Lonchura striata: one gene and its partners. The protein of the gene in region 3 purifies or fractionates together with the protein of the main gene of each other region. This does not show direct contact. Links are inferred from orthologs where the notes say so. Each region holds a gene or a part of one and is shown on either strand. Other genes may lie near its edges. The genes, in order: SLF1, SMC5, SLF2 and RAD18.

Region 1 (7,630 bases), on a different chromosome or scaffold from region 3:
CACTAGAGTTTGTCAGTTCTTCACGCCATCTTTTAGGTGCAGATTGCATTTGAGGTGAATAATGGGTGTCTCTTTCAATTTCATATCCCCATTCGTACGTTGTTTCATCAAGCCATCTGCCACTTTCAGCACTATTAATTATGTACTCCTTAGTTAGTACCCACTTCCCTAAAAAGAAAATGAACTGTCAACCACAAAAGATTTTTTGTGGAGACAAATGGCAATCAACTGAAGAACTAATATAAAATTAACTTAAACCTTTCTTGTGCAAATAAAAGATGAAATTATAAGTACCATTTAAAAAACTTCTTCCTATTACAAGAGTCTTCCACTTCACAATCAAAAATTTCACAATGCCACTGAAAATGATCGCTTTGTTTTCTTTTAATGATTAAGTACCTTTTTACCCTTCCTAGATAAAATACTTGTCTATGTCCTCAAAAATATCAAATACATGTTTTCAACCTCCCAGATTTTGTTCTTAGGAGTTCCACAGAACATTGGTAAGTCCTTTATTTTTAATACCATTTGACACTTCTGCAAATGTACTAAAATGAAGAAATATTTTCCCACCTATGGTTTTAAAGAAGAACTAGACATTTAACATGTAAGCTCTTTCTCTTATATATTCTTAGTATTACTTGCACTGCTAATGTAGTGAATATCAATATTTGGGGGGCACAGTTTTAGACTTTTTTCTTTCCCCTTTCTTCTTTTCACATCCTTTTCTCTCATCCTTTGGCTCCACCTCCTCCACCTCTCCTCTTTCATCTTCCACATCTATGCTTTTGATATAGTATGTAATGATCTTCCCTGTCTCTCTCTCTTCTTACAGGTTCAGGTCAAGAGCAGTGGTTAGTACCCTGCTCCTGTATTGAAATACTTCCTACAGAAGACACTGTAAGAGAAATTGACTTGAATTGTGTGAACCTAATTGGTTTCACAGAACAGCAGGGTTGACTGACAAAATGTCTCAGTGCAGGAGCACAGATGGCACTTCTACAATACCTAGCACAGGTACCAGTCGATTTATGACTGGAAAAGATATGCTGTGCATGACCTGGATGTTAACCCACTTTCACATGAAGTTTCCATCCCAAAACTTGTCAGCTAGGAAGTACATGACAAGTGGAATCCTTGATAGTATTTCTGATGAACTCTGTGGAGTTCTAAATGTGTTTAAACATGCTCTTTCTTAACTACCTGGAAAACAACAAAGTAGGAATGAATACACTGTCTCTGCCATGATGAGTAAGAGCAATGACTATGCAAAATCAGCACCTCGGGATTAAGAAGAGGTTAGATGGTATTGCGGAAGATTTGCATGTATCGAAGCATGACAGAGTTTTGTATCACCATGAGGACACTACATGCACCATTTCCACTCTGTTAAAAGAACATCTTCAAATTTTAGACTCCAAATAGTCAGAAAACATTAACTCAAGGGTTTAAAATTGCTAAAATGAAGTGCTGTGCCAGAAACCTAGATGCATTTTAATATTTTTTCCCCTCTTGGAAACTTTTGGTCTATTTCATTTTTGGTAAGATTGTAATTATAATTTTATTTTTAGTACAAAGAAAAATACATAGGTACATACATACATATATTATATATATATGGAAATCAAGGAATTTACATATAGATTTAAACCCAAATGTATGTTTAGTAATTTGTCTATCATCTCTAAGATTATCCATCCTAACAACTGCTTTAACACTTTAGAGTAATATGATATAGGGAAAATAAGTATCATGCTTAAAAATGGTATTGTGGTGTCTTATAACTACAAGATACTCAAACTGCATCAGAGAATTCTGACATATCATCAGTCTATAAACAAGTCTTAAAATACAGGATTTTAATTCTGAAAGCATTTTAGTTGCTAATGTATGGGATTTCACCATCAGACCCTAGTTAAAGAGGAAAGACCAGAAGCTTGTGTCAGAATGGCAACAGCCTGGAATTTTCTCTTGCTGCATAAACAGAAACTTACAGTGACCTTTACCAGCGAATGTTTAATGTGAATTTGTCATCAAAAATCCATGCTGACTACAGGTGTTCATACTCCCTCTGCCCTTTCTTAAGCATCCAAATAATTTGAACATGACTTCATTATCTAATGTATAACAAAGTGTTCAGTTTGGGAACAGATGCAGATCCAACAAAGGGAAATAGCAGGAATATCACTTAGTGGAAAAAAATCAAAACAAAAAAGAGGACTTCATCATAACTTCAACATAATACTGTGTTAAAAATCAAGGTTAATGGAACAAGAAGAATGAAGCTTTGTAACACAGTTCAATCACAAAATGAAAACAGATAACTAAAACCCTTTTAAGGAGCCTTTCCAGGCTTATGCTGTGATGCTATGAAATTAAACAGCAAATCTTTTACTCACCAGCAGCGCAGGCAGCTAAGACTTTTTCACTCTTGCACAGCTTTTTTGCTACAAGATGTGTACAATTTCTGTATTTCTAACAAAACAAAACAACACACTTGTATCACTGGAAACATTTAAATTCTTTGTCTATTTATACATAACTAACCTATTGCACAGTCCTTCCTTCTAAGACTTGCATTTTACTTCCAGCTCTAATTCTCTTTGCTGTACTGTAATGAACAATACCTTACTCTCTACAAAAACACAGTTCAGCTTGAACAGGCATTTGAGTAGTGCCTTCTTCTCTTGATTTTTAAATCCAGTGATTTGTATTATCCTCTTCTGGCTGCAACTTGCCATCTGCTGAAAGAATGAAAAGGAAACATTAACACACAAAGTACACACCATGGGAAGTTGCTTGCAAGGCCCGACTAGTATTTGCTACTTCTTTTCCAACAGGAAAACACACCAAAAGGAATGAATACTCGTACACCACATTTTAAGCTCTCACAACAAAGACACCTAAAAGGCGATAACGGAGTAGCCCGAGACTCCCAAAGTGCAACGCGTAGCGGGCCGAGCCCCCCCGGCCTGGCATCGGGGCTCTCTCTGCACGCAAATGCGCGGTGGTTCAGTCCCTCGAAGCCCTGCTCCGCTGCCGGCAGCGCGGGCAGGCTCCCCTCGCCCCGCGGGGGAAGGGTCCCCGCCGGCCCCGTCGCAGGGACACGCCACCGAGAGCGGCGGGCTGCCGGCGCCCCCGGACAGGGGGTGCCGAGCGAGGGCCCCTGGCTGCGGCGGGAGCCCCCAGCGCTCACGTTCGGAGACCGCGGGAGCGGGGCTGCGCTATCGCCGGCTCGGCCCGGCTCGGCTCGGCTCGGCTCGCTCCGGCCCGCCGTCCGCCAGGCGCCGCGGCACGGCGAGTTCCCGCCTCGCCCCGCCCCGCCCCCGGATGTGGCGGAGCGGCCGTTCCGGGACGTTGTCACTGACGCTCCACGGTCGCCGGGGCCGCCGGCGCGGAGCCGCGGGGGGATCCCGGCCGGGTAAGTGGCCCCGCTGGGGCTGCCCCTCCGCTCAGCTCACCGTTCGGCCGGGCTCTGGCGCCGAGCGGGGCCGGGCTGGAATCCGCTGCGGCGGCCCGCGGAGCAGCGGCGATCCCCCCGGCCGCCTTCTCTGCCGTGCGAAGCGCTGCGCAGTGCCCGAGCTCCCGGGGGTCCGAGGCGCTGGCGGGCGCTGCCAGCTGCAGCGGGAAGGCGGCGCCGAGTCCGTGTGCGGCGGTCCGGGCCCGTGTGCTGCTGGAGCGCGAAGGGGCGGTGCTGCGTCGGACGGGGCGGAGGGAGCCCGGCGGGGCCGGGGGCGGGGGCAGGCTGGAGGCGGGCGGCGAAACGCGCTGGCGCCCTCCGGAACCTGGAAATCGCCGCGTCTGCCGCTCGGCGGAACTAAAACTGTGGAAGGCGGTCTAGCAGGGGTTGCGTCGGTCTATATGCGAGCCCAAGTGGAACAGGAATCTCTGGAACAGGCTGGCTGTAAGAATCGGGAAAAGGGACCAGGGATTTCGGACCCTCAGAACCATTTTCTCAGCATCTCGGAAAAACTTTTCAAAGTTTCAAAGCCATATAATGCATGGCCCTCGTAGGGCAAGTGACAAGGTAGTGCTACAGCCAGATAATCAAGCCGCATATTTTTGGGAAGGGCTTTCTGCCCTGTTGATGAAGGGAAGGCATTCCTGCCACTCTGATCAAGTTGGTACAACGTTTTTGTTACGATAGTCAAGGCTTGATTTTTTTTTCGGTTACAAAGCAATATGAAGAGATCAAAATAATATTCATCTTGTACCTCAGTTGCTGTTCATGAAACTTTTTCTGGCGTCCCACTCTTTATTTTGGTCCCTTCTGTGCTTGAGAGATGACTTTTGGCTATTTCTCTGTCATGTAATGCACTGAACAGATACTGCACAAGAAATCGGTTGATGCTTCCTGGAAAAAAGAAGTAGCTCTGTAGAACACTTTTGCGTTTTTCTATAGTTTCAGAGTAGAATGCATGCATACAAAAAAAATATTTAAAAAAGATGGTTGAAATACCTCTTTAGAGAACTGAATTGTGGTCAAGTCACCCTGTACTCATTGAGGTATTTCAGACACTCTTTCATATTTAAGACCTGTAAATTGAGATATGCACAACAAAATTCACAAGTGCTGAGTTTTTGTCACTGCAGCTTAGATCAATAGAAGCAATGCTTTGAGCTCACCACTGCTGTAAAACAGGTATCCCTCAAAAAACAAAACCACATAGGTGCAGACATATAAAGTTTGACAGCAGGTTGGACACATGGTTTGAATCTGAGTTTCTCAGAATATCAAAACAGAAGAAGTGTTCTGCCGGGCCACAGATTACTCTTGTCTTGCTGTTTAAGAAGTATTCTGGTACCCTTAATGCTTACTGAGGCTTTTCCTTTTTTCTCTTGTTTCCTTAACATTGCTGTTATTTTTTTGTATATAAATATGTAACCATCAACAATCATTGTCACTACTCTTTTTGCAAAAATGACAATGAAAAAAAATCTTAAATATTTATAGTTAATATTCAGACTTCAGTTATTGGTTGCATGCATTTTCTATTTTGTACCTGTTGCATCTTTATACTTTTACTATTGATTTCTCAGGACTGTAAAGGTCTTGATTTTAATTCTTGTAAATTTTTACTCATTTTATTCAATTTTTATTCATTACATAACTGATAACTAACAGCAGTTTTACCTCACAGGACTCTTAACAGGCTGGAGAAGTCTTCAGCATATGATACTGTAAACTAACTCCTAGTGAACAAAGCTGTGAAGCTCTGTCAGGGGAGATTTAGGTTAGATTCAGGTTCTTCAACCAGAGAATGCTTGTGCACTGGAACAGGCTTCCGAGGGAAGTGGTCACAGCCCCAGGTCTGCCAGAATTCAACAAGTGTTTGGATAACGCTCTCGGGCACATGGTGTGACTCTTGGGGTGTCATGTGCAGGCCCAGGAGTTTTACTTTGATGATGCTTGTGGTCCTTTCTAACTCAGGATATTCTTGATTCAATCATTCATACTTATTTGATGACCATTTCTTACCTTTAAGAGTTAATTTTATTTTCCTGTGTCTCTGGCACATAAAATAGTGTAGAATCAAAGTAAATGATCTCAAACATTTCACATGTAGTTTTTCTTTGAAATACATTGTTGCCAAAATGTAGCTTTAAGAAATTACGTTTTTTAACCATTATTTCAGTGACGACTACTAAGTTCAGAATTCACCAACCCCTGATTCTATTATTTGTTCATTAAAAGTCTGAAATATTTTCTTCCTTTCCATCCTTGTTGTGATCTCATTATGGTAGCTAAGTGTCTCTTATGTCTCATAGGCCTCATAGTGAGCAGGCTTTTTAACTGATGTATTTTTAAGTCCCTCTGGTTTCCTTTAAATGTATTTGTCAAATATACAATTCAGTTTCTCAGTATTATAAATTGTGTTTTAACAGTTTGGCTCTGAGATATCTTTTTAGATAGTATCTACTTTTACATATTTTCTTCTACTGTACCTGTGACATGTTCAATAAAATTTAGGAAGTGATTTTCCATACTACACACATGGTATTTGACTTGTAAAACTTCTAATTACATTTTAAGGATGATCAAGAATGGCTGTACAGCTCTTATGTCCAGTTCATTAAGAAGCCAAGATAAGGAAAATAAATATTCCTTTTCTCCTATCACAGAAAGATTTTATTTACAGTGTATCAGGTGTCCATCTCTTTCATAACTCTTTTATTAAATTTGTTACCTAGAGAGAAGAAAAAAGAGTTTTCATTTCATACATTGTTCTGGCCTTCTACCTTATACTTTTTATTTCCTTTATCTTCTATGCATATTTCTATTACAACCACGTCTTCTGCCTTGAAATGTCACTTCTTACGTTTCCCAGTAATAGCTATTTTACTTCACACAGTTATCTTTCTTCAGGCCTTATTGGTACTGCTGCTTTCTGTGTTATCACTGTTCATCCTTGTCTGTAAATCTCAGTCTGTTTCTCAAAGCCTCTGCCACTTTGTCCTTAACTCTGCAAGTTAGGGTTTCTTTTTTGTTGTTTGATCATTTGTACTATTTGTCCCTCATAAGGCTTTTGACTTCCTATGTGTGAATTCCTTATGTAATTACTTGCACATTTTGAGAGTGAAAAAGTCCATGCAAATGCATCTTTCCATTGTGAAGTATAATCTGACAGATTTTTTTATTACTGGAATCTATTTTGTAGTATGTGCTTAAAATACTTGCCATCATGCAATCAAGATTATCAGTTGACTGATTAAGGAAAACTATTCATTGGAGTTTTTTCCTTCTGTCTAAACATAATATTTATACTTTTTAAATGAAACTCGCAGTGCAATAGGCAAGCATTTCATAATCACAGCTTTACAAAAAAAAAAAAAAATCATGAAACTACACTGAAAAACCAGTCATAAAATCTAAAGCAGTATGAAGTGTCTCCATACTGCCTTCGTGTGGATAAAAATCTAACTTTCTGCCTCTTAAAGTCCATTTTTTCTTCAGTATGAAACACTGTCTCTGGCTTCTTGAAATCAAAGGAATTTAAATATTCTTCTGTAGTAATAAGGGATTACCAGGATTAGAAATAATAAATATAAATCCACAGAAGGTACAGGAGCTTCTTAATAGTAATCATCTTTCTATAAACATACCTGTAGTTTCTCTCATGAGCTAATGAATACAGAAAAGGCAGAACAAGCATTGTGAAAGTTCCTGCTTTTCTTCAAGCTATACTGATTATATAAACTCCCTGTTATCATAACTAAATGCTTACTTTTAAAAACATTTTCATGTTCTTCTCAGGACGTATCTTTTGTGTTTCTTTCATGTAACCATTTTTATTCCAAAGAACATTTATTTTTATAGCTATTATAAGCTCACCCTATTTTCTCATCTCCTTTCATTCATCTGCCTTTCTTCTGCCAGCTCACTTTCTGAATGTATGTCAGTGAAACAATGTTGATGGACAAACACAGAGCACAGAATAGTGTTTGACAGCTTGTTCTGTAACTCTTCTGTATGTGAGTTTATGTGTATTCGTTCACTCAGTAAACTCAGTAATGAATTAGTGAACTGTATTGTTTTAGCATAATTTCAGTCTCTCATGACTTGGACTAAGGTTTTGCTTGTTTCTTTCTTTTAAAATATAGGTATGAAATGCATTTATTTTGCATTTAA
Region 2 (7,448 bases), on a different chromosome or scaffold from region 3:
GGCTAAGGCCATAGCATCCACAAAAGGATGCATGTAGTATTGCCCTATGCAAAAGCTACTAATGGAATTTTAAGTCCAAAAGATTTCCAGGTGCTCTGCTTTACAACAGCTTATCTACAAGACCGCATTACGTCAAATTAGTCAGATCTTTTATTTTACTTCTTTTCTATCCGTATGTGATGTTTTGAGAATGTAGGCAAGCTCCTCCTTCCAACAGTATCAGTATAAGTAAGTGAAGGCAGATTGATCCATTTTAAAACTTAAAAGACTTCTGTAATTTTTACTTCAATGAAAAGAATTCCCGCCACCACGTAGTGACGGCAGTAGTGACTAAATCATCAGAACCTTAAATGTAATCAAAAGCTAAACACACCATATAGAATTATCTTTTTCTATGCATTTTTTTGTACATCAAGACAAGGTGAAACTTTATTTTCACTTTTCTTCAGAAAGCAAGATCAACAGTAGCCATCACTGCTTATTTCTTGTGTGATAATTATATAACTTTACATTCTGAAGACTGCAGGAATTAAAAAAGGACAAACTAAGCTTAAAGACCGACCTCTGCACAACAAATTTTTTTCTCACAAGTTTGTGAATGGCTGTGGGGGGAAATGATCCAATTAAAAGCGCATGAGGAAACAGTTTTACTACTTACAGTTCAATTTCCACTATGCCTTTCAGGCACCCCTGCTTCACAAACAGACTGACCTACAAAATTAATTTACAAGTTGTTATTGCAAAATAAAATTTACTGTCTTACAAGAATACACATTTGTATAATGGAGCTACTTAACAAGGTATTTTATTGAAAACTTACAATTAAAAGCAAAATAAAGCACTAACTAAAAATAAAGGAAGACACTATCCTCCACAAGTTAACAATTTCTGATTAACTTCAGCCTCCAAAACTGAATAAATTATAATCAGCAGATCCACAGATAGGAAGAAGCTCTTGTGAATTCGGGGAACAAGGACAAGACTCTGCCAAGTACCTATACTAGAACTGCCGTTCTTATAGTATGAAAATACATCATGAGAAGCAAAGAGAAATGCCAAAACACAATACTGCCATGCAATCAATTCCCATATTCACATTTGCTTATGACTGAGCAGCTACAAGAGAGTATGTGTAACCATTTAGGCACCCAGATTCATTGCTCCAAATCTACTCAGAGAAATTGCATCCAACAAGACTACCCAAGAAAGCAAGTGCAAAAGTTTGAAAATTTCAAGATATAAAACTTCCTTCTACAGTGTCAATGCATATCTTGGCAGTAAAAAGTGAAAATCCAAATTCTATTTCCAAGATCAGTGCCACTATGCCTTTTTTTTATGGCATTTTTCTACTCCACTGTGGATGCTTAGCCATCTTCAAATAAAACCTCTAGTCGACTCAGACTGCACTACAATTTAGGTAGCATTTCAAAATTTAGACAAGACAGCAAGTAGTTAATTAAAATAACCCTCCTTTGTCTCTGGACCAGGTTACTCTTCAAGTCAGATGCCTTACTTTTTATAAAAGTAAAGCAAATCAAGGAAGAGAGCCCTTCCCCCTATCCTCTGCTTGACAGCACTCTGAATGAAATTCAGATTAACTATGAAAATCAGAAAAGCTCATAATTACCTTATCAGCTCGCCCTAGGAAAGAAGGTTTTCCAGCCAGTCCCAGGCAGATAGCACAAACAATGCTTGACTTGCCTGTGCCATTACCACCTACAATCAGGTTCAGGTTGGGCCCTGGATGTACTTCACAGAGATTGTATGTTCTGAAAAGCACAGCAAGTTTTTGAATTTTAAAACATTACATTACCTTGAAAAAGAAAAATGAACTAGCTTAGAAACATTTCATTATTTTATTAAGGAGATACAATTCCTCATTTAGACTCAATTGCGAAATACCCTTTTGTAAGAAAGTCTCAAGAGTGAAAACTAACATTTCAGTGAAACACCATGAAATACATTCCCATCAGCCAGAGTACTCACTTTCTTTAAAATCAGTGACTATGAAGAATAAAATCCAGCAATATGATGATAACTTTATAAATGAACTTACTATGGTATGATACTAGGGTATCATTTTATTTCATGCATCAAAAAAAGAAAGCTGATCATGCAGTAGCTTTCTAGAGTTACCGCATCAGCTCATCCCTAGTGCTCGTTTTTTTCTAACTGCATTAGACATCTTTCATCATGTGCATCCAGAATGCCTACGGCAACAGTAACTATGGGAAGAGACCAAACCTACCCATGCAAATTCGTATAAAATTAACACCCTAAATTTATAAAGAATAATTTGATGTTCTTATTCCTGCACTGTGCCAAACACAGAGAGCTGAAACGTTCCCACCAAAGGAGGAGTACAAAGCAGTTAATGGGAACACAATATTATAAACCATGTACTTGTGGAAGAGAAGGTATATGAACCCTTAATGAGGATTTAACTCTCTCTGAGGATTCAATTAACATCTAACACGTGACTCATTCACTACAATACTGTAGATTTTCAAGGCTCGAATGGAGCCGTAAGAAAATGGTCCGGTAACTTCTACTGGTCCAAATACGTCCAAAAATAATGGTATTCGCAGTATAGAGCAGCTAAAAAAAACATGTGCCAGGACCACAAACACTTCATCCTAACGGGTCTCAAGGCCTATCCCCACTGTTCCACGAGCACCTTCTGAAGTCTGCCTTTCTCCGCTGCCTGGCAGCCACGCACCCCAGAGACAAAGAGCACGCGGAGGCTGCACGGCCGACAGCCGCCACCACCTCTGGGGAAGGCCGGCCGGCACCAGGTAAACGACACTGCGCTGACAGCCCCTGGGGCTCGTAACCCAGACTGCAGGCCTTCCAGCAAGACCCCATCTCCCAAGGAACGCCGCTTCCTGCGCTCCCTCCTCCAGCCCTCGGTACCCGCCATCCCGCTCCGCTGCTTCCGCCCCTCTACGGCGGAGCGGAAGGAGCAGGCCGCGGCCGCTGAAAGCGGGAGAAATGCCTCCCGCTCACTCACAGAAAGTTCTTCATGAAGATCCTGACGATGGAACCCAGTACGAAGGTGGGCTTGGACCCGCCACGCTTCACAACCTTGCCCTTTTCCCGCGCAGTCGCCATGCTCCCCCCCGGCCACCCTCGCTCCCCGCGGGGCCGAGCCCGCGCCGAGCGCTCGGCCGGCTGCCCGAAGGCGGAACTGAGCCGTCCTAAAGCCGCTCCTCATTGGCCGGGGCGCGCCGCGCCGGCGCCCATTGGCTGCGGGGCGGGCGGGCCGGGCGCTGTTGCCGGGCCGCGGCGGGTGCCGAGCGCCGCGTGCCGCTGCTCGGGCGCTCCGCTCACCGCCACGCTCCCTGCCTACGTTTGCGGCATCACCGGTGGCTGGGCGTGTTTAGTTCGGAGAAAACCGGGAGAGAGTCTCATTGATGCATACAACTGCCTCAAAGGCGGTTGCCAAGAGAGGGTTGCTAGACTCTTTTCAGTGGTGTCCTGAGACAGGATGAGGAGCAGTGGCCATAAAGTAAAGCTCAAGAGCTTTCCTCAACACGACAAGAACCTCTTTACACGGAGGGTGGCAGAGCACTGTGACAGCCTTACCCTGGAGGTTGTGGAGTCTCCCTCTCTGGAGGCATTCAAACCCCACCTAGACTCATTCCTGTGTCACTTGCTGTAGGCGACTCTGCCTTGGCAGTGTGGGTTGGAATTGATCACAATTCCAACCCTAACAATTCTGTGATTCCATGATGCAGGCTACAAGAGTGAGCCCAGGAGCCATGAATCCGGGCTGAGGCCTCAGGAGAATTCCCGGGTGGCCCAGACTGAGGACCACAGACAGCTTGCCTTTTCTTTGAGGTGGGATGAGAGGCAGGCTTTCTCTTTTTCAAAACATGAGAGGTAGAACAGCCCTCAGTGTGTCTGTCACACTGCAAGGAAAGCGTGCTCTCGCCAGGCTTTGCCCTTACACAGCTGTTGCTTTGGAGTGGTGGGTCTCCTGAGAGGGCAGGCACACTGGCAAGCTCTGCTCACATCCAGGTGGACAAAATGCCAGGTTTTTAGTACTTGGCTTCAGCTGTCTTATGAAACCTCATGATTGTGAAGTCAAGTTTATATTAGGTTTATTTTGGTGCGACACCATAGAATACCTCTTTATTTACTTTATAAAGGCAGCATAACAGTGACATTTTATAATAGCTGTTATTCTGGATTTCTGTTGGTGTAAATGAGATCTGAATTTGCCCCTCTTTTTGGAATTAGTAAGGATAATGATAAAATGAAAACTAATGGGACAATATTTAAAGAATAAAATCCAAGATTAAACGTAAGGACAGTATTGAACAGGAAGACAATAAAAGGGGTCTCCACTCATCTCAGGACAAGCTGAGTTCCACTCCAGCACAAAGCTACACTTACAGCAATTAAATATAAGCCCATTATCGCTTGGGACATTATAGCTGTTTTTCAAGGTTTTTTCATTTCCATTTTACAGATTTTGACACAACTGGGATCAAAACAATTACTTGTAAAGTCTTCACTAGCTTTTGAAGAAATTTTCAGACATTAAACAGGACTGCTATGGCGAGTCTCAGAAGAACTATTCTTTGCCCCAGTGTGGTCCTGGTACAGCTACTGCAGCATAGTAAATAAATATGGAACCAGGACAGAAATTAATTGCATGAGGAGTTTCCCATTTGGACAGAGCTGATAGAATATTTTTTTATACCATAAAACTGAAGTTTGCCAGTGGAGACATCTTAAATGTACCATACCCAGTTTTCAAATGTTTTGTAGCCATTCTTTCACTAATCTCTGAATTTTGTATTCTATAAATTGATGTTCATCAGACACTGAAGTAAATGAAAGCCATCTTTCAAATTTTCTCTCTGTACTTTAGTTCCTGCTGCAAAAATGATTGGAAAGGCAATGTTCCCTACTTAAGTAAGAATTTAGGTGATTTTTTGGTTTGGTGTTTTGGTAAGCTTTCCCCCCACCTTTTTTTTTGCCTCTCCCCCCCATCAGGGCAATGCCTCACACCTTGTGGATAAGTATTTCCTTCAGTGATACTGATAAAATCACTGTAGCAGTGAGGTCCCTAGAAATCACTCAGTGGACAGCAGGTTAGAATCCTTCATTTAGGTTTTTATTTTATCATCCTAAATCTGATTACTTTGATGGAGTGTGGCAGAGTTGCATAAATATCTAGAGATAGGAGCCTAACAGTTGTACTTCATGCTTCATTTCATTTACATACAGAGGACAACCAAGCCTGATTAAGTGCTTCATCTTCACTTGTTTTCTGCTTAGATAATTTGAGCTGAGTATTGATACCGAAACATGCACTTTTCAGAACAACTGTAAAATTGTGCTGACGTATAGGAAACAGTCCATTATTTCCGTTTGCTTTCATTTTTGAATAATAGTAAAGTAATGTGTTCATAAGCACCTGACTAGGTAGGTATCTAGAATATGCAGATAAGATATCAATTCCTTTTGGCTTTTCCTCAGTGTCCAGGAAACAGAAAATGGCTTCAATCTGTGTGGTTAAATAAATACATGAGTATTGAATGTACTGCATTGAACAATCTCTTAAATTGTTTCTGTCACAAAAATGAAAAGGTATGTAAGATGCAAGGACCTAGATCATCCTAGGTGCTGTTGATCCTTATATGCTGTTAGGAAAAACATATTCTTAGTTCTGAAAGGAGCAGGATATGGTTGCTGTAACAGTACATAAGCTTCCTGCAGCAGTTCAGATTACTTTTTGTTGGCCTTCTTAGGTGATGTGATCCACTCATTTAATTCTCTTCATGTTCAAAATTAATTCAGGCTACTTAATTTGGTTCTGTTCTTTCTCTTTACACTAATCAGTTTCAAATCTAGAGCAGAGGAATAAGATGATACTCAAACTTAAATTTTATTAGGAAGTTATAGTAAGTTAAAAAAAAAAATCAACCTTACACACAAATACATAAAACCTGAAAAAATACAAGATGTGAATATAAATGCAGGACATCTGTTGTTGGGCAAAGTGTAAGTGCATTCTCTGTGAGTGTACAAACTTATTTAATAAAAAAACAAACAACCAGACTCTCATGACAGAAAACATATGGCTTTAAAGTGTTTAATTTCCTATAATTCCACAGGCCAGCATCTTATGCTGAATTATACTGAACACTAGAAGTGAGTTTGTTATTGACAAATATATTTGTTATAGTAAAATACACTGTCACAAAAAATTGCCAGCAGAGTATTAAGTTTCCCAGAGAGATTTGTCATTGAGAATAATTGTACTTAACCTGTGGGATAATACTAGTAGCTAACACTATTTTCTTCGTTATTTCAAAACATTTATCATTTTCTTAACAAAAATCCATTCTATCCCCAACACAAAACATTCACTGAATGCAGATTTAAGATAACATATCACTGGACTTCAATTGTGCAACTTGAATTTCCTCTTTTTACTTACATACCAGAAATGTTAAAATGTTAAAATTAAAAATTAATGATCTGTGCAAAATGGGAAGCCTTTATGTAATAACTGATACCTCATGCAAAAGAGGAAATAATATCAAAAACTTATGGTCTAAGAAGCCCTGAGTCAATAATTTCATTGAAAAGGCAAGGAGCATTAGTGCTCCAAGTTCTTCCTATGTATCGGTGTGTATTCAAACCAGTCCAGTATTTACTTAAATCATATTTTAAGACAGGCAGTTCATGCAGTTTCTCACATACAATTCTTCAATGTGCTTCATTCCTTTCAGCAGAATGTATTTAATACTCAATTTCGTTTAAGATGTCAGGATAGCCTGATGAGAACTGAATTTCTTCCACTTCTGGAATACAAAGAATGAAGAAATTCTGTAATTATTTTTATTTTTGTCATACTTAATAATACTTACAGCAGAATTTAATTAGCACACTGGATTTAAATGGGACTATCTGTGGTTTTTAAAAAGTTTACAGCCACTTTACTAGTTGAGATTCTGAGGATGATCTCACACCCTATTAGATAGTAAAAGCACTAACCTCTGCTTGATATTAAATTTAAATGGAGACTCAAGGGAAATATCACCCACCCACAAACAAGCACTGAATTTCAGGTGTTTCTAACAAAGTATCTTGAAACTTACCCAAACAAGGTCCTGCCTGGAACAGAATATCATCAATAGCAGTGTCACTTCTTACTGACACACCACGGATTGCCTCAAAAATAATCTGTAAAGTAAGGCACAAATTTTCTGAATCCAAATGGTGGAAGGACTGAAAAAAATAATAACCATGCAACCTTTTCAAGGTTTACCCCTTCCCCTGCCCTCCTTTCCCCTCTCCTTTTCCCCTTCCTTTTCATTTTCCCTTCTCATTGGACAGACCTCTGCCTTTGCATCATCCCTTCTCCTTGCTGCTCCCTTGGAAAGACTACCTACAAGAAGCTGCCATTTCATCACAGCTCAGTGCTTGTG
Region 3 (8,351 bases):
TGTTAAAGGTCATTGACTCAAACAAGCAATATTGCTGCGGCCCAGGTCTGCATCCCCCCTGGAAGGGGAGAAGGAGGGGGTTTCTGTGTGTGCTGTTGAAATCTCTGATCTGCCTAAGACCAGGAGAGGGTGCACACCCACCACAGGAGGATGACCACAACAAAACAAGCTGGGGCTTGAGCCAGATAAGCGACAAGGCTGGTAAGGCACAGCCACTGCAGAGGTGGGAAAATGCTTTTCATCATGCCAGTGTCCTCCCTTACACAACTGGCTCAGGTGTAAAACAACACCCCCCACCCAGGGGGAGGTACTGGGATATTCACACTTAGACTGAAGGTATTTATCCCTTCTGACAAGGCATAATGTGAGAAAACATGATGTGAGATACACCAAAACACCAGTCTAAGATGGGGTCATAAACCATCAAAGACCCCCCCGAAGTGCCACTAGACTAATTCCTGGGGCCTTTCAACAGACAGTGTTACATCCACCCTCTCCAAGGGAGGTACCTGGGCATTCCCACCAGAACATCCATTAACCCACTGAACTCTGTATTTTGGGGGCTTCCTACATCCCTGACTGCAAGCATCACTTTGACCAGCAGACATCAGAATCGCTACAATCAAGTCTCATCACTGGATCCATGCTGGTCATATCTCTGTAATCTGCTCCTATCCTTGCTTTTTCTTTCTTTTCCTTATATATTTCCTTAAGTGGTATTTTTATACTTTTATATTGTCAAATTACTAGAGATAATAACCAAAATGGCTACATACCTCATTTCCATTGCAACCAAATTATCCCAAAATAAACCCTATGTGTGCATATCAATGTTCTTTCTCTCTAATCTGCCCCAAGGGACCCATTAACAAGAACCTCAGTTACTCTGACCTTCATGGACAGCTCGTAACAAAACCAAAACCAAGGCCTTCTGTCATCTCTGTCCTTGTTTCCACAGCCACTGCTTCCAAATGACTGCTTATGTCCTTGCCATAATGTTCTTTTTGCTGTCTTTTATTAAAAATCCAGCTTTGTAACAAAATTTCTGTTTATTCCATAATTATACAAAGCCTTCTACAAAACAACAGGGAATGAAGGCACTTCTCTTCTTCCTCAAGTTTAATTTTAATGAAGAGCTGGGCTTCTTTGGAAAGGCTTATCCACCAATATTTTCTCCTTTGCATTTGTAACTCTGCTTTTTGGAGTGCAAGGGCTAGGAACTGTCCAGCCAAGGTTCTGTATTGTGTCTCAGACAAGGAAGTGTACCAGAAACTTCAGACAAAAGCAAAGGGTGAGGAAAAGAAAAAAATAAAGAATTCAATACAGTACAAGGAAGATCATGGAAAAGAACTGGCCCATCCAACTTGCTTTTCACATACATGTGAAAGTAGGAGAAATGTGATTTTCTATGTGAATGGGGCCATAACTGTTCACAAACCATTCCCAGGAGAATCTCCACACTTTAGTAGGTTACTGTGCTTCAATCTTTTGCTAACACAAAAATCACAGTTGTTTAATGTATCTTTCTGAACCACTATACAGCTCTGGTTAACACTTTTCAGCAATATATTTTACATTCAGCAAGACCTTTTATCTCAAATAAAAATTATCACACCATATTTTGTGAAATCTCAGCTCGACTGAGACACCAAGGAGCCCACTAAAAATCCAAAAGAAAACATAATGCCCATAAATACATTATCTCACCCGACCAAAGAAAAAAGCTGCACAGCAAGGAGATGAACCTAACAGACCTTCCAGGCCTTCCAAAACTAAGAACACTAACTACGCCCCTAAACTAAGCCTGCATGGAAGGAAGGAAGGAGGAAATACTTTCACTTGTCTTAAAAAAACAACCCCCTGAGCATTTGGTAAAAGCAATTATTGTTTACAGCCACATTCGTGGTAATCCCTGGCTGGATAAAAACTATGCTTTTAAAAAGCTGTATTGGAAACACTAGGAATAGCTAAGAGATAGCAAATTCCCATAACATAGGAATAAGCTACTACATTTGATGACATAGAGCATCTTGAAAAGCTCTGTAAAAAGAAAAAAAAAATCATAATAAAACCAGCCAAAACAGAAACTCACATAGAAAACCTCAGCCTTTTAGACACCTGCAACAAAACCGAAACTGCCGGTTCGTTTGAGTTTCTTGGGCAAAAAGTAAGACTGAAAAAGTAAACTTTCACCCTGTCCCCTTCATTTAAATGACAGTGCCATCAAAACCAAGGATCTGAACAAAGTAAGGTGCAACTAATAGCCTAAGAAAATTATGACTTGTCTCATTGGGCAAAAAACAGCAGCCTCTGAGAAGCCTCAAATCGTTGTCAAAATCTGAATTTCTAGTTGGCAGGCAAGTTTGTCAGGTCTAAAGGCAGCGTCGCTGACAGCAGTGTTTTCCCTGGGCAGTGCCAGCACCGTTAGGCGCAGTCCCGCCGGAGCGGGTTCGGGGGCTGAACCGACACCCGCAGCTCCCGGTTAGAGCCGAACCGCCGACGCCGCCCGGCTCTACGGGCGGGCTGGGAAACGCCGGGGCAGGGGCGGCACACGCGGGACGACCCCGGGATTCTGAAGGGCGCGCTGGAAATGCCGGCCAAACTTAGCCGGACGCTCCTTCAGACTCGGGACGCTGCCAGACCCGCCGGCCAACGCCCAGCGGCACCAGGCGCCGGTTCCGTGAGGAGCATGGAACCTCCCGGCGATGCTCCCGGTAACGCCCGCCGAGCCGAGCCCTGCCGCCCGCCCTGGGCAGCGCGGCGCCCGCCGGCAGCGGAGCCGTCCCGCTCGGCGGGCTCGGGGCCCGGCGACGGCCGCGACCGCCGCTCTCCCGCGCCCCGCCCGTACCTGCAGTCCTGGGCCGCCTCGCCGCCCGCGGCCGCCGGCGTAACATGGCGGCGGGACATGGCGAAGGGAGGGCCCGGAGACGGCAGCCCCTCGCCGAGCGGTCGGGTCATGGCACGGGCGGCACAGCGGGGCCCGAGCGGCGGAGGGGAGCGGCCGCCCCTGGCAGCATCGCCCGGAGCGCGGCTCGAACGCCCAGCGCGGCCGGAACGCCCAGCGCGGCCTCGGGGCACGGGCGGGAGCTAACGGGCTCCGCTCTTCCTTTTTTCCAATGCCTCCAGGCGCTGATTGGCTGAGAGGCTAAAGCAGCTGCGTCTCCCATTGGTTCCTTCCCGCCGGGGGCGGAGCGGGCAGCGTGATCGTGTCTGTGATTGGCTGCTGGGGAGCGCAGGGCGGGAGCGGCGTTCCGCGTCCGAGGGAGGAAGGGTTGTTTGGCGCCTCGCTCGCGCGCCGCTCCCCGGCCCGCGCTGCCGCTCTCTGATTGGTGCGCTCGGACGGGCCCCGCCCCCGGCGCTCCCGGTGTCGCGGGCGGGGACAGCGACAGCGACAGCCCGCGGGGCCCGTCCACGGGCGGGGACAGCGACAGCCCGCGGGGCCCGTCCACGGGCGGGGACAGCCACAGCCCGTGGGGCCCGTCCACGGGTGGGAACAGCCACAGCCACAGCCCGCGGGGCCCGTCCATGGGCGGGGACAGCGACAGCGACAGCCCGCGGGGCCCGTCCACGGGTGGGGACAGCGACAGCCCGCGGGGCCCGTCCCGACAGCCACGCCCGCGGGTCCCGTCCACGGGCAGAAGCGTCCCGCGAGCAAAGCGCCACGGGCCGCCACCTAGCTCCGGGCTGTGCGGCTTGCATCGCCTCTGGAAGAAGATCCAGGCTGCGCATCCATCTCCAGAGCCACAAGACAATGTGGGGAGGCTGAAAAAAGTTACTGGGGAGTAACTTTTTCCAAATCGCCACTAAACCCTGTGCCTGCCCATCCTCAGCCTGCTATGCAAGATTCTCTCTGTGCCTGGACTTCCCCCAGAAAAGGCATCTCGAGTGGAATCCCGTGTCCTGCACCACCACCTGACAAACATTTTGGACAAAATCTTGGACTAAGCAACCTGAAGAACCAGACCTGCCTGCTTAGAGAATGCCAGTACTCCTATCTGTAATATTCTGTGTAAATTCACATATTTAGTCTGTAAAAACTAGCAATATCAAAAAGTTGCTTTAGCAGTTCAAAGTAGGTATTGCACAGATAGAAGATATCCCTTATAGTTATGTATTGGGGTTTTTGTTTAGCACTTTGCCTAAGAGTGGAGATGACCAAAGCCACTGTTCTCCTGATGTTTTTCACCAGGAGACAGCCGACTCAAATGAAAAGGAGTGACCCACCCCACGTCTCTTCTCACCCACTACGTTAGGCTGGCCTGGGAAAGGCTCAAAGCAGAAGTAGCAGGACACTCGCTGGCACTGCAGACAGCAGGGGCCACCTTCCTGTGCCCCAGCGGGGTGAGGAGGGCAGCTTTGGGTTCAGCCCTAGAGCACCAGAGAACCTTGGCCATGAAGACAGAACGAAGGACCTGACTCTCGCTGGGGTTCACAGTCCAGGTTTACTGAAAAGCTCAAACAATCCAGCAGAGAAGAGCCAACTAGAGCCCCGAACAGAGCTGTGCAGCAACGTTTAAACGGGAGGAACAGGGGCATGGTGTTCCCACAGACTAATGGAGAGGTAGATGGGAGTGGGGCAGGAAAAATGGGCAGGAGTGGGCACCAATGGGGGGACTGCAGGGGAGGGGGCCCAGTGCCCAGCCCATCACTCGAGGGGCTCGTGGAACTTTCCGGATGGAGGGGAAGGACTGTGGAGTGACAAGCAGGCCCCAGGATGAGGGCTGGGGGTGGAAGAGGAACAAGACTGACATTTGAATGGGAGGAGGTAAGGGAGGACAGAATCATTTGTTTGGGGGTACAGGATCAAACCATCTAAAGAAACTGAATAACTTGAACAACACAATACAACACAGGACAAAATAAGAAAATGTTTCTTGAGCACCTGAATATCTGAGTCTGCCCTGTGCTATGCACCCTACCCCCCACCCCTTTCATCATGCCCATCCCTCAGTCTGTTTTTCAAAGGCTTTGAGCCATGCAATTCCTGATCTCTTAAACTCAGCCTCAAAAGCTTAAAACACTGGCTGATATCACAACACACACCTTCTTCCTTGCTTGAGCCCCTCCGACACAAATCCTGCCCTCAGCTGCACGCTCTCTGCCCCAGGGACCACCTATGACTATCATGTTTTCTGGAGTGAATCCTACTGTTTGACAACACACTTCTAGACCCACTATGCACAACACTACAATAAATCCATCTTTTTGCTGGGTGTAAATTCTTGAGTAACAAATGAAGAACAGTTTGACTTGTTGTCATATAGATTTGTTTGAAAAAACAGTAGTGTATATATGAAGTACCATTAATAAAGTGTTAAAGTTTCATGCCCAATGTTATCCAGGAATTCCAGAAATATTTTTATAACACATTGAAAGAGCAGATGAAATTGAAGTCCTATAAACATTTGCTTTGTCTTTCAAGTTTAATACTTTAACTGTGGAAAATGGCAATAGACATGGGGGCATTTCTACAGTTAAGTCACCTGGAGTCATAAAGAGTTTCTAAAAGACAACCAGGGAGTTGGATACAGAGCAGCTTTGGCAGAACATCCAATTCCAGCACTGGTGATGGTAGGGTGAAGCTGTTTATCATGGGAAGTAAGGATGGAGTTCCGAAGTGGCAGAAGACTGTGAAACTCTCCTGTAACTCTAAGTACAAGAATAAAAGCAAACACAAGCAGTGAGGCTGAAAAAAGAAGATTTTGCTAATGAACCACAGGGAGTGACAATTAAGAGCAAAGACTGGTAATTGTCATAAGCTCCCCCCTTGAGATTAAGTGATGTAAATTGGTTTTTCCCCAGTACAGGACCTAGTCCGTATGGAAACAGATCAACCAATATTTATTAGCATACCTTTTTTTAAGTTGTTATAGTCAATTTAATAATAGCAGATCATTATCCAGACAGTAAATTCAGTTATTCTATCAATAGTCACACACATGCCATCACTCATTGTTGCCCAGGAGGGAAGGAAAAACCTATCACAGTGGTTTTCTCAGATACACACTGATGTGCCACTGGCTTCAGGGTCAATGCTCAGAAAGGAAATGTTTAAAGATTTTCATTGTTTTTCCTGGGAGAACACAGATACTAAAAATGCTGTGGAACTGCTGGAAGGGATAAAGCCCATTCTCATGTGGAAGTGCTCTGATATAGGCAGCCATTATTCTTTGTGCTGCACATGTAAAGGAGACTGCTGACCACTATGCAGGTTGGGGGGTTTTAAGTAGAAAAACACTTATTTTGGAACCAGACTAATGTTTTCTTTCGATTTAGGCTGGTTTCCTCTGACTGAATCATACACCTGAGCACACAGCCAGAAGCATGGCAGCACCTTACATGAACATGTCTGAGCCAGGCCTGTGTAAACTCATCAGGGTGATGTACTCTTCCAGGCACTTCCACACTCAGCTTCCTGGCTGGGGTTGCCTCAGCTGCTTTGTTCCCTTCATCACCAATTTGCTGTGTGGTTTAGGCACAGCACAAATTACAGCATACTTGAGATACAGACACTTCTTTCCTGGCATTCCTGGTTTCCTTTCCTTCCATCTTTCTGGAGAGTCTCTCCCTTTTTCACTAATTCCCAGATGTTATCAGATCAGATACTCCCTGCTGTGCCTTGCAAGAACCAATTTACACCTCCTTTACCAAGCAGACACTGATACCTTGACATGCAGCACATGCAGCAAGACTTCTTAGGCAAACATCTGGAGAGAATATTTATGGTACTACTTTCAACTGCAATAACAGTTTAATCAGTGGAGAGGGTTTGTATCTCAAGGTTGTGAAGTATTTGTGGTTTTCAGAGCTTGCTTCACCCAGGGAATTGCAATGCGGAACTCAGCTAACACACCAGTTCCCTTTTTTGACTGGACAAAAAGCTGGCAGCACTGCACTGATATGTCAAGGGGACACAGTGTGTAGAAAATATCTGTCTGCACATAATAATTCTACTACATTAATAAACATTTACTAATCAGTACATAGTTTGCTCACTTTAACTAACACTAACTATTCTCCTGACACACATGCCCATTCCCACAACCATTTTCATGGAAAACTTCAAATCAGTCTTGGTCAGTTAAATTCCATCTATTCTGTTCCCTACCTTTTATTTATTTAAGTACTTTAAAGTTGTCAGTTCCGGGTCTCTCAATGCTTAAAGTTTCATTGGCAATTGCCATGTAACCACACACACAAAATTCCTTTGTCATGACTACGATAAAAAGTCTGGTTTATAGCTTAAGCAAATTAAAAATGGAAATGGCCTTCACCTGTGGCTTCTTCAGCAGACATCCATGATGTTAACATTCACTAAAGCTAATTCCTATCCTTGATGCTCCCTTTCCATGGAGGCTGTCTCTGGTTTAATTTCCTGTTAATTGCTGATTGTTTCTGTAAAGATTAATCATTCTTGACACAAAGGTCAAAAAACAGAAAGAAAATATGAGGGACAATCCACTGCTAGCAGGCAATGAAAAGGACTTTCCTGCAGCAGCTTATCACTGTTTCTCTGGCCTTTTCTCCACAACATGACCGTGTTGCTATCTGCTTAACAAGCAACAAAAATTTTAGTTGGTAGGTTCAGTTAGCTAACCAAGTTGCCAGACCTTTCTCATCTTCTTCTACTTACATGTTATGCTGTGACCAAGCTCTTTTAAAGATATTTCTTTTGCAAAGATTGAGGGGATTCCTGAATCAGCCTTAAATATTATCATTCTTTCACAGAGTTCTGATGAAGCTAGGAACTGCTCAGCTTTCAGAATAATTAACAGGGAAATGCCTGCTGGGACAGGGGAATAAGAGTCACAGCCTCCATCAGAGGTAAGCAGACAGGACGTGTGATGTCTGGCCAAAATGAGGAAACACTGTTATATTTCAAAAGCTAGACATGCAATCACTCAGTAAACCCCCTTACACTGACTTTTTACTACTTTTAATCTAAGTTCCATGTCTGTGAGTGAACAAATGGAAGGCTATATATCAAAAGTGGCACACACTAGCAAATCTTCTTTAAAGGGCTTTTTATTTAGTAACCAGATAGGTCTGCAGGCCCAGCCAATTCACCTAGAAGCCAGGGAGCCTCACAGCTGTTACTTCAGTGAGGAAAAAGCATCATCACAGCTTGGTGAGAGGGGAACAGGCTTTGTAAAAGCAGAAGAGAGCTGGATGTTTGGATGTTAATAGGAAAAGTTGTTGCCACCTTGTCTGAGACCTATGGAGGAAGAAGCAAGATTCTTAGGGAGGCAAATTCACTGCAATAACTGGACCTCTTAAGTAAATTACATTCTAAAAATTTATTCAAACCAGCTCAGAAACTAGATCTAGCATCATCAAAAGGAACCCAAAAT
Region 4 (8,068 bases), on a different chromosome or scaffold from region 3:
CTGCAGGGTTTTTCCAAAGGGTAAACATTCATCTTTGACACCACAATTGTTCTGCTCAGTTCTCACACCCTCCTCTGCAGGGCTCTGAGCCTGGGGGCACACACAGCCACACCTTGCCAGCTGCCAAGCCAGAGAGAGCAGCCATAAAATTGCAGACAGACCTTGCAGAATTAAAGCTCTTCACTAGATCATCTAAAATCCGGTTGTTTTTCAGGTCAGATTCCGAGACTGCCTATAAAAGAAATAAAGAAAAAGAAAAAAAAAACCAAAACAAATCCAAACAAACAAACATTTAAATGCAGTGAAAACAGCAAGTGCCCAGAAAATGTTCAAGTGATCAATAACTTGCTTCTTGGCTTGGTGCCTCAACTACCCCCACTAAAGTGCTACAGGAATTAAGATGCTTAAAGTGTAAACACTTCTTCCCCAAAAATATCTCATATTAAAGTAACTGCCTGAGAACTTAAGTCTGGGATATTAAGGTAACAGGCGAAAACAAAGCATAAAGCTAAAGCAACAAAGCCCAGTGTGCCCAGGCTCCAGTAATGGTTTGTTGCAGCACAGGTCTAATAATTTTGGAAACCAAACCAAACCATCTTCTGAAGGTGGTAAGAACCTTAAGCAACAAAGCATGAAAACTGATGAAGGGAGATGTTAATCTTCTGATTATGGCATGAAAATATGAATTATGAGTTGCCTCTGTGCATTCAGTTCATTCTTTTTAAACAATTTCTGATTTTTACCACGCTGCAACTCTCTCTGCTCTTATTTTTAAAAAAGCTTTTATTACTTTTTTATTCTATTTTTACTTTGAGATTAAATGGGGCCACTCACACACAGAAAATGAAGCGCTTACGTTTCAGCACTGCTGGTTTAAATCATGGAGTATTTTAACAAATTAATGTTAAATGTTTTGTGACAGATTGTACACAGTCCTGACCAAACCTCAGGCCTGATTCTCCATCCCCTTCTGCCTGCACTGACAAAGGAGTACCTCTGGAACAGAACAATTCCAGATGCAAGAGCACCACACTTTGCCCATGCAATCAGAATTGATTACTTGGCACAGTCCAAAGGCAAAAGCTCCTAAGATTTGCCAAAAGATTAAAAATAAACTGAGGGGGAAAACCACACTTACCACACAGCACGTTGGACACTGCGTTTTGTAGGACAAAGACTTGCGGATACAAAGGGAACAATCTGGAAAAGGGAACACATCGTTGTGAGCATTATTCCAAGTGCACATCCACATCCTTGCTTGTGTATTTCCTTGTTGTACAACACACACAAGCTACTCCACAACACACAAATATTGAAAACACACCATTTTCACATGGAATTATCATTGTTGGAAAAGAACCTGCATTTTATTCAAGCACATTTCAAATATCAGCTCCTCCACCGAAAGCTGATGTTTGCTTCCTTTTGTTCCCCAGTGCAAGAAAGCCTTCCTCAGCCCCCACCACTACAGCAGTGGCTGCACTGCTCACTCCCCCACAAAAACTGGGTTTTTGACATGACTAATGCTGATCACTTTCATCTGCCTGCACAGCCCCAGACAAACTTACAATCTCCTTTCCCCCAGGCTCTTCTGCCCCTTTCCAAAACAATACCAACTTGCTGTCGAGAGAAGAGGCTGGAAAGGAGGGCAGACAGCACTGAAATGCTGAGAGACAGCTTAATGTCACCTCACCATCACAGGATGCCTCGACAGGCTGGGCGGTGAAACACACTGTCACAGTACATTTCTGTGTTTGTTACACTTTGTCAATTTATCCCATAGCTTTCACAGCCACTTAAGGATTTAAAAAAATCTCATCATTCTCCAGGACAAAATTCCCTCACTAGATCATCATAGGTCAGAGTTTCAGCACTAGTTCCTGAAAAAGATCTATATTTCATAGGCCCTCTGAGAATGCATCAGAAAAGCAGCAGAAGCATTAATTAATCCCAGAATGGTTTGGGTTGGGAGGGACCTTAAAGCTCATTTCATCCCACCCCCTGCCCCTGCCATGGGCAGGGCATCTTCCACTAGACCAGGCTGTCCAAGCCAAATCCAACCTGTTCTAAAGCACCAATTAACACTTAAAACCACATATCCATTTAAATGCTCAAAAATTACTAGACACGTAGCAAGAAGTGGTATAGGGTGAGAAAGCCATTAAGAAACAAACTTTAACTGTAGGAATAGGAATGAAGTGGCAGACCCAGGCTGCCAGCATCCAACACCCCAGCAGCCTCCCATGGCCCACGTGCAAAGATTGCTGCTCAGAGCCATGGCTGCACCAGCCGCCAGTGAAGAGAATTCCCAGTTCTGTGGCTCCCCACTCTGGCTTCAGTGGTGACAGCTCTGCCAAGCTAAACTAAACTTCACTGCCAAATGACAACGGCCCCCTTCAGGGAAGGAAGTGCTACAGTTTCTGAACCTAACAATCACAAGCATTTATTTTAACGTGGGAAAAGGCAAGGTACTTCCCTCCTAATCTGGCTTCAACAAAGCACTTGGGGTCAGGTTCCAGTCGGTATCTTGCAGGGCAGACAGAACAGCATGGAAAATTTGAGGTCTTAATGCTCAGCACATAGAGCTTTGCATTTGTACCACCCTCAAGATGTTAAGAAAGATATTTACAGTAAGAATGCCAGATGCCACATGCTTGTGTTACAGCAGGAACTACAGCAGGGAGGGCTCTGGCTGCTTCCATCTTGCCAAGCTCCTCCCAGCTTCCACGGCAAAGAGAATCGAGGCACCCTAGAACGGTTTGGGTGGGAAGGGACCCTGAAGCCCAGCCAGTTGCACCCCCTGCCATGGGCAAGACATTTTCCACTGTCCCAGGGTGCGGCAAACCCCACCCAATCTGGCCTCGGGCACTGCCAAGGATGGGGCGGCCCCAGCTGCTCTGGGCACCCTGCGCAGGGCACCACCGCCCTCCCGGGGAAGCTTCTTCTGCATCTCCCACCGAACCGTGGGAAGCCATGCCAGGCCCTGGTAAATCGTTCCTGGCCATCTCTCCTGCAGGCTCCGGAGCCTTCTGCGTGCCGGGCCGAACATCCCCGCCCGGGACCGGCCGGGCCGAACTTCCCCGCTGTCCTCCCGTCCGGCGGGACACGGCCCCGCCGCCCTCCCGCGGCACTCACAGCTGTGCGAGCACTGCGGGATGATCACGGCGATGCTGAAGTAGTCGAAGCAAATCCCGCAGCGCAGCAAGTCATCCACGGCCTGCAAGGAGAGCGGGTGAGCGGCGGGCAGGGCCGGGCCGGGGCACCGCCCGCCCCGGGACCCGGCCCGGGACAACCCCGGGACAACCCCGGGACCCGGCCCGCACGCACCTTCAGCGGGGCCAGGCCGGGCGGCCACGGCGGCTCCAGCAGCGGCATGGCCGGGCTCGGTCGCTCCCGCCGCGGCCGCGCTTCCGCCCGCGCTCCCCGCCGGCTTCCGCCCGCACTTCCGCCCGCGCTCCCCGCCGGCTTCCGGCCGCGCTTCCGCCCGCGCTTCCGCCCGCGCTCCCCGCCGGCTTCCGCCCGCGCTCCCCGCCGGCTTCCGCCCGCGCTTCCCGCCGGCTTCCGGCCGCGCTTCCGCCCGCGCTTCCCGCCGGCTTCCGCCCGCGCTTCCGCCCGCGCTTCCGCCCGCGCTTCCGCCCGCGCAGCTGCGGCGGCGGGGGATACGGAACGGGAACGGGGATGGGGATGGGGAACGGGAACTGCGGGAACTGCGGCAGCTGGAGATAGGGAACGGGAACGGGGATGGGGAACCGGAACGGGGAACGGGAACTGCGGCAGCGGGAGATACGGAACGGGGCGGGAACGGGGATGGGGAACGGGAATGGGGAACAGGGATGGGGAACGGGAACTGCGGGAACTGCGGGAACTGCGGCAGCGGGAGATACGGAACGGGGACGGGGATGGGGAACGGGAACCGCCGGGAGCGGGGATGGAACTGGTGAGAACGGGGAACGGGAGCGGGGACAGGAGCGGGAATGGAAAGGGTGAGAAACGGGGAACGGGATGGGAGCGTGGATGGGAGCAGGAATGGAGCCGCCGGGAACGGGGACGGGGATAGACGTGCCGGGAACGGCAATGGAAATGGAAGGGAGCAGAGCCCTGGGCAGCGGAGGCTGCAGGGGAACGGGCAGAGCCTGACCTGGGACACGGACACTGGCAGCCAGAGAAGGAGCCAGCGCTGAATTGGCCTTTGCTGCCTTCGGCCAACAGCAACGAGCGACACTGGGTGATGTTTCAGAGACATTGTTTTGCACGTGCAGGTATCTCCCATTTGGACACTGATGCTGGTCCAGTAAACGCTGGGAAAATCATGAGTAATCTCACTAGCGTTAAACTACTCCAGTATAAAAACTCCCACACGGACAATCCATGCACACCTAGACACGGTGATAGGTCTGTAATACCTTCCATTCTCTCTGGTTGTCTCCCAGCAGTGCATTGCATTGCCAGCTTTGTGCCCTAGAGTCACTCTTTGGCTGTTTGGTTCTTAGCCTGGGTGCAATTCCCTTCCCCACCATTCAAAATAAACCAAGGCAGAAAAAGTCCCCCAAAAAACCCTCAAACCAAACCAAAACAAACAACCTGAATTAAATTAACATGTGGTTCCTGAGCATTTTGAGAACGAGTACCAGCAAGAGCCCAGAAACAGCATGCCAGCCCCAGGAAAGGCTAAGAGCCTTCCTTCTCAGTGGGAGATGACTTTCCAGTGCCTAGTTTCCAGCAGTGATTCCCTGTGCAGATACTCTGTGTGTGTAACTGCAGTACCCCACCAGAGACCTGTGATGGACGTCACAGGCAGGGGCTGACAAATAGGAAACAACCATTTGCATTCCCATGCAGAAAAAAGGGTAAATTGGGTGAAATCCAAAGGCAAGAGAGTCAATGCATTAACAGAAGTGCTTCTTAGTTGACATTCCAGCTGTCCTGCACAGATTTTGCCTTTTTCAGCTAGGAAAGGGACGTGGGACTAGGAAAGGGATGTTGGGAGCAGAGTTTGGATACAAATTGTTGTCAGTCTGTTGTGCCATATGGCTGCTGATTTGCCACCAAAATGCCCATTGCTGGGGCTTCATTCCTTTGCTAAAAACTGTTTGGGTTGTTCTGCTGCTGTATTTGCCACTTCATTGCTGCCTTCCCCTGTTCCTGAACATGAAGCAGTTCTCAGCCCTTGCAATGCAAGGGTAGCAGACCTCCCTCCACTCCATCTCTCTGCAGGGTAAGACAAGACATGCCCTGCTCCTATGAAGGCTCATTTCTATTCCCTGTAAATTACTGGGAATTGCAGGAGAGGCCTGAGAGCTCCTCGTGGGGCTCTGGTCCCTCAGCACTTCCCAACCCTGATTTAATTAAGAGCACAGCTTTCACCAACAAGGCGTGCATGCTGTGCCATGGATTTTGCATTTGTGCCGCTGGAGCTTGTGCCCAGAGGTGCCCGAGGGCAGGGATCCCTCCCACCAGCCCCGTCCCTGTGCACAGAACGCCCCAGCACTGCCTTGCCACGAGGCTGATGAGTGCCAGGAGCCACTGGAGATGCATTTCCCTGGCCCGTGGGGCCTCAGCAGAGTCTGGCTGCTCCTTGTGCCACTGTCTGTCACCTCCAGCTCAGCCCGCTCTGCTTTCCATTGGTGAGCTGCTGCTCATCACATCACTGAGGTAAAACACTCGCAACAAGAGAATTTTGAAGAGGCAGTTTTGGCTTCTGCTCAGCTTAGCCTGCTTACGCCTGGATTTATGTGCCAGAATGAGACTAAACAGAGGGAGACGGAGCCATTTGTCACCAGAACACATGCAGAAAAGGCAGCTCCAGCTTGCTCCAGTAGTGCACAAACCACTGCTGATGAGTCTGGGTGAGATGTGTGTTGGGATTGATGCCAGTGGTGAAAAACAAAACCTCTCGGGTGCTGGCAGCTGAAACACCAGGTAATTACTTAATTGACTCCATGATCTCCACCTTGGAGGAGCAGCCTGCAGCACTCAGGCTAAAAGCTGAAGCTCATTAGTAATTCTGGCAGCAATTAATGTCCCAGACCATGGAAAGCAGAAGCCCAGAGCATGGCTGGTGCAGCGTTTGGAAGCTGAGAGACACCTGCACCCATCCATCTGGCAGGAGCACTCACCTGTGCTGGACCCAGCAGCTCCTCCTGCTCTGGCCAGGGACACTGACCCAGAGTGTCCAGAACTGAGCTCCAGGCAGGGAAACGACACCAAAATTCAAGCCATATCAATAGAAATTCAGCACAGACGTGAATTAGCCCCATTCCCTGGTGGGTGGCACTGGGCAGACTGGCAGCCACAGGAGTCCTGCTGGGACATGAGGAGGTGGGAGCCTTGGGACGGGCAGGATCAGCGGGGCCAGGAGCAGCAGGATCCAAAGCCACGAGCAAGCAGCAAAAGGGAAGGCGTGGCTGCACACAGGGCTTGTCCCCAAAAACCTGTGAACAGTGTATAACTTCTTACAGGAAACAATCGTTCACACAATTCCCATGGACTTCGGTTGCCACACCAGGGAGGAGGGAAGGCATTACTCATGCACTAGCAGATGTTTTGTCTTACATAAGACTAGATTTTTTCTTTCTTTTAAGAAAAAGGCTGCATCTCACCCTAGAGCCTTCTGAGAGCCTCCTCACCCTCGGACATTGCCACGGCCTCACAAGCTCAGCACTGCCCTGCTCTATGGTACAGCTCTGCCAGCTTCAGCACTCGCCAGTCATTGCTAAATATATTATTTTTATAAAGGCTGTCTTGAAAGGGGTAAAAAAAATGGATGCAGCAACAGTTTGGAGACAGAAATCCAAGAGAAGCTTCATCAGTGCTCAGCAGCAGCAGGCAGCGGTGGGTAACGCAGCCAAGGACAGGATTTCTTGTCGGCTGAGACTCCTCCAGGAGGGAAAGCAGCTCGCTGCCTTTGAGTGGGATGGAAGGTTTGGGCTGAGCGCTGCTGACAGCCCTTCCTGGCCCACAGGGAGCCCAGGCTCGGGCCGGGCTGCAGAGCCTGCCCAGCCCGTCCCTCGCTGCAGAGCTCCAGCCAGGCTCCCGTCACCAAACCTCCGGCTGCCCGGCAGCTGAGCCCCTTAATGAAGAGATTTGTCTTCGTTAGGCACAACCAGACACACGTGCATGAGTCTCGTGCTGACGGGGCTCGGGTGGGATTCGGAGCTGTCCGAGGGTGCCTGGCCTTCGGAGGCTGTCAGGAGGCTGTTATTAGATTTAAAGCCTGGGATGAGCTTTGCTCCTGAGCTGAAGCTTCATTTCCAGCACACAAACCTCCACGGATTTTGCACCATCAGAGACTCCAAGCCCAAGCTTCTGGAAGGCTCCTGGGGAGGGAAGAGGCTTCTCTGTGGAGCAGAGCAAGGCTGGTTTACCTGCAGTACTTATGCTGATCTGATGCATGAGATATTTAAAATCCAGCAAATTACACTTTTATCTCATGAAACACTTAAACCAAACTGTTTCAACAGCTGCTGCCTCCCACCCAACAAGAAGGGGAAATGATCCCAAAGGGCAGCAGGAATGTGGTGCTGTTTTCCAGCTGAGCTGGGATCATACAAAGGTTTCCAACTGCTCCACAGTATTTACAGAAGATGGGTAATGCTGCAGTCTCTCAGGCCTGCTAAAGCCCGGTTTCCAGTGTTTCTATAGTGAGGCTGTAGGTGGGTTTTAAGGGGAAATAATAAAGTTTTCAGAAGTTGGGTAAATATCCTCATTCTGTGCCTGCAGCCAGCTCAGGTGTGGGATGCAGCACAGCCTCCCCAGGGAGTGGGATCGCTCAGCCCTGGCTGCTGAGTGCTGCTGCAGGGCTGCTGCAGGGCTGCTGCAGCCAGAGGCAGCAGGGTGGGGACAGCTGGGGGCACCAGGAGCACTCAGACACCACCACACCAGCACTGGCCAGCCAAGGAAGGGCTCCACTCCAGGGACACGGGGACACTGTGCTGGAGCAGGGGGCAAAAACATTCCAAGAAAAATACTAAAATTGAAATCAAGCTCAGAATGCACCAAACCCTCAGCAGCACTGGCTGGTGCCAGCACTGTCCCTCCCAGGCTGATGAGCTATCCCTGGGCAGGGCCA

Evidence for each region.
Region 1: the proteins of SLF2 (region 3) and SLF1 purify together in Homo sapiens (co-immunoprecipitation; 3 studies listed by BioGRID and IntAct, with this or other methods). This does not show direct contact. The link is inferred for Lonchura striata from reciprocal best matches to the Homo sapiens genes SLF2 and SLF1.
Region 2: the proteins of SLF2 (region 3) and SMC5 purify together in Homo sapiens (affinity purification with mass spectrometry; 3 studies listed by BioGRID and IntAct, with this or other methods). This does not show direct contact. The link is inferred for Lonchura striata from reciprocal best matches to the Homo sapiens genes SLF2 and SMC5.
Region 4: the proteins of SLF2 (region 3) and RAD18 purify together in Homo sapiens (affinity purification with mass spectrometry; 3 studies listed by BioGRID and IntAct, with this or other methods). This does not show direct contact. The link is inferred for Lonchura striata from reciprocal best matches to the Homo sapiens genes SLF2 and RAD18.

What each region holds. Positions count from the first base shown.
Region 1 is NC_134642.1:69,020,321-69,027,950, reverse strand, and holds the start of SLF1 (SMC5-SMC6 complex localization factor protein 1), read right to left. Parts: upstream 3,108-7,630; 5' UTR 2,790-3,107; coding exon 2,628-2,789; intron 2,476-2,627; coding exon 2,400-2,475; intron 169-2,399; coding exon 1-168. UniProt on the Homo sapiens protein: Plays a role in the DNA damage response (DDR) pathway by regulating postreplication repair of UV-damaged DNA and genomic stability maintenance.
Region 2 is NC_134642.1:71,458,536-71,465,983, forward strand, and holds the start of SMC5 (structural maintenance of chromosomes protein 5), read right to left. Parts: upstream 3,198-7,448; 5' UTR 3,112-3,197; coding exon 3,011-3,111; intron 1,770-3,010; coding exon 1,628-1,769; intron 712-1,627; coding exon 659-711; intron 1-658. Other genes in the region: MAMDC2 (MAM domain-containing protein 2), read right to left, coding at 6,760-6,821, 7,119-7,203. UniProt on the Homo sapiens protein: Core component of the SMC5-SMC6 complex, a complex involved in repair of DNA double-strand breaks by homologous recombination.
Region 3 is NC_134609.1:19,950,095-19,958,445, forward strand, and holds the start of SLF2 (SMC5-SMC6 complex localization factor protein 2), read right to left. Parts: upstream 3,068-8,351; 5' UTR 2,959-3,067; coding exon 2,849-2,958; intron 1-2,848. UniProt on the Homo sapiens protein: Plays a role in the DNA damage response (DDR) pathway by regulating postreplication repair of UV-damaged DNA and genomic stability maintenance.
Region 4 is NC_134614.1:23,723,777-23,731,844, forward strand, and holds the start of RAD18 (E3 ubiquitin-protein ligase RAD18), read right to left. Parts: upstream 3,421-8,068; 5' UTR 3,376-3,420; coding exon 3,328-3,375; intron 3,218-3,327; coding exon 3,136-3,217; intron 1,201-3,135; coding exon 1,139-1,200; intron 233-1,138; coding exon 162-232; intron 1-161. UniProt on the Homo sapiens protein: E3 ubiquitin-protein ligase involved in postreplication repair of UV-damaged DNA. Postreplication repair functions in gap-filling of a daughter strand on replication of damaged DNA.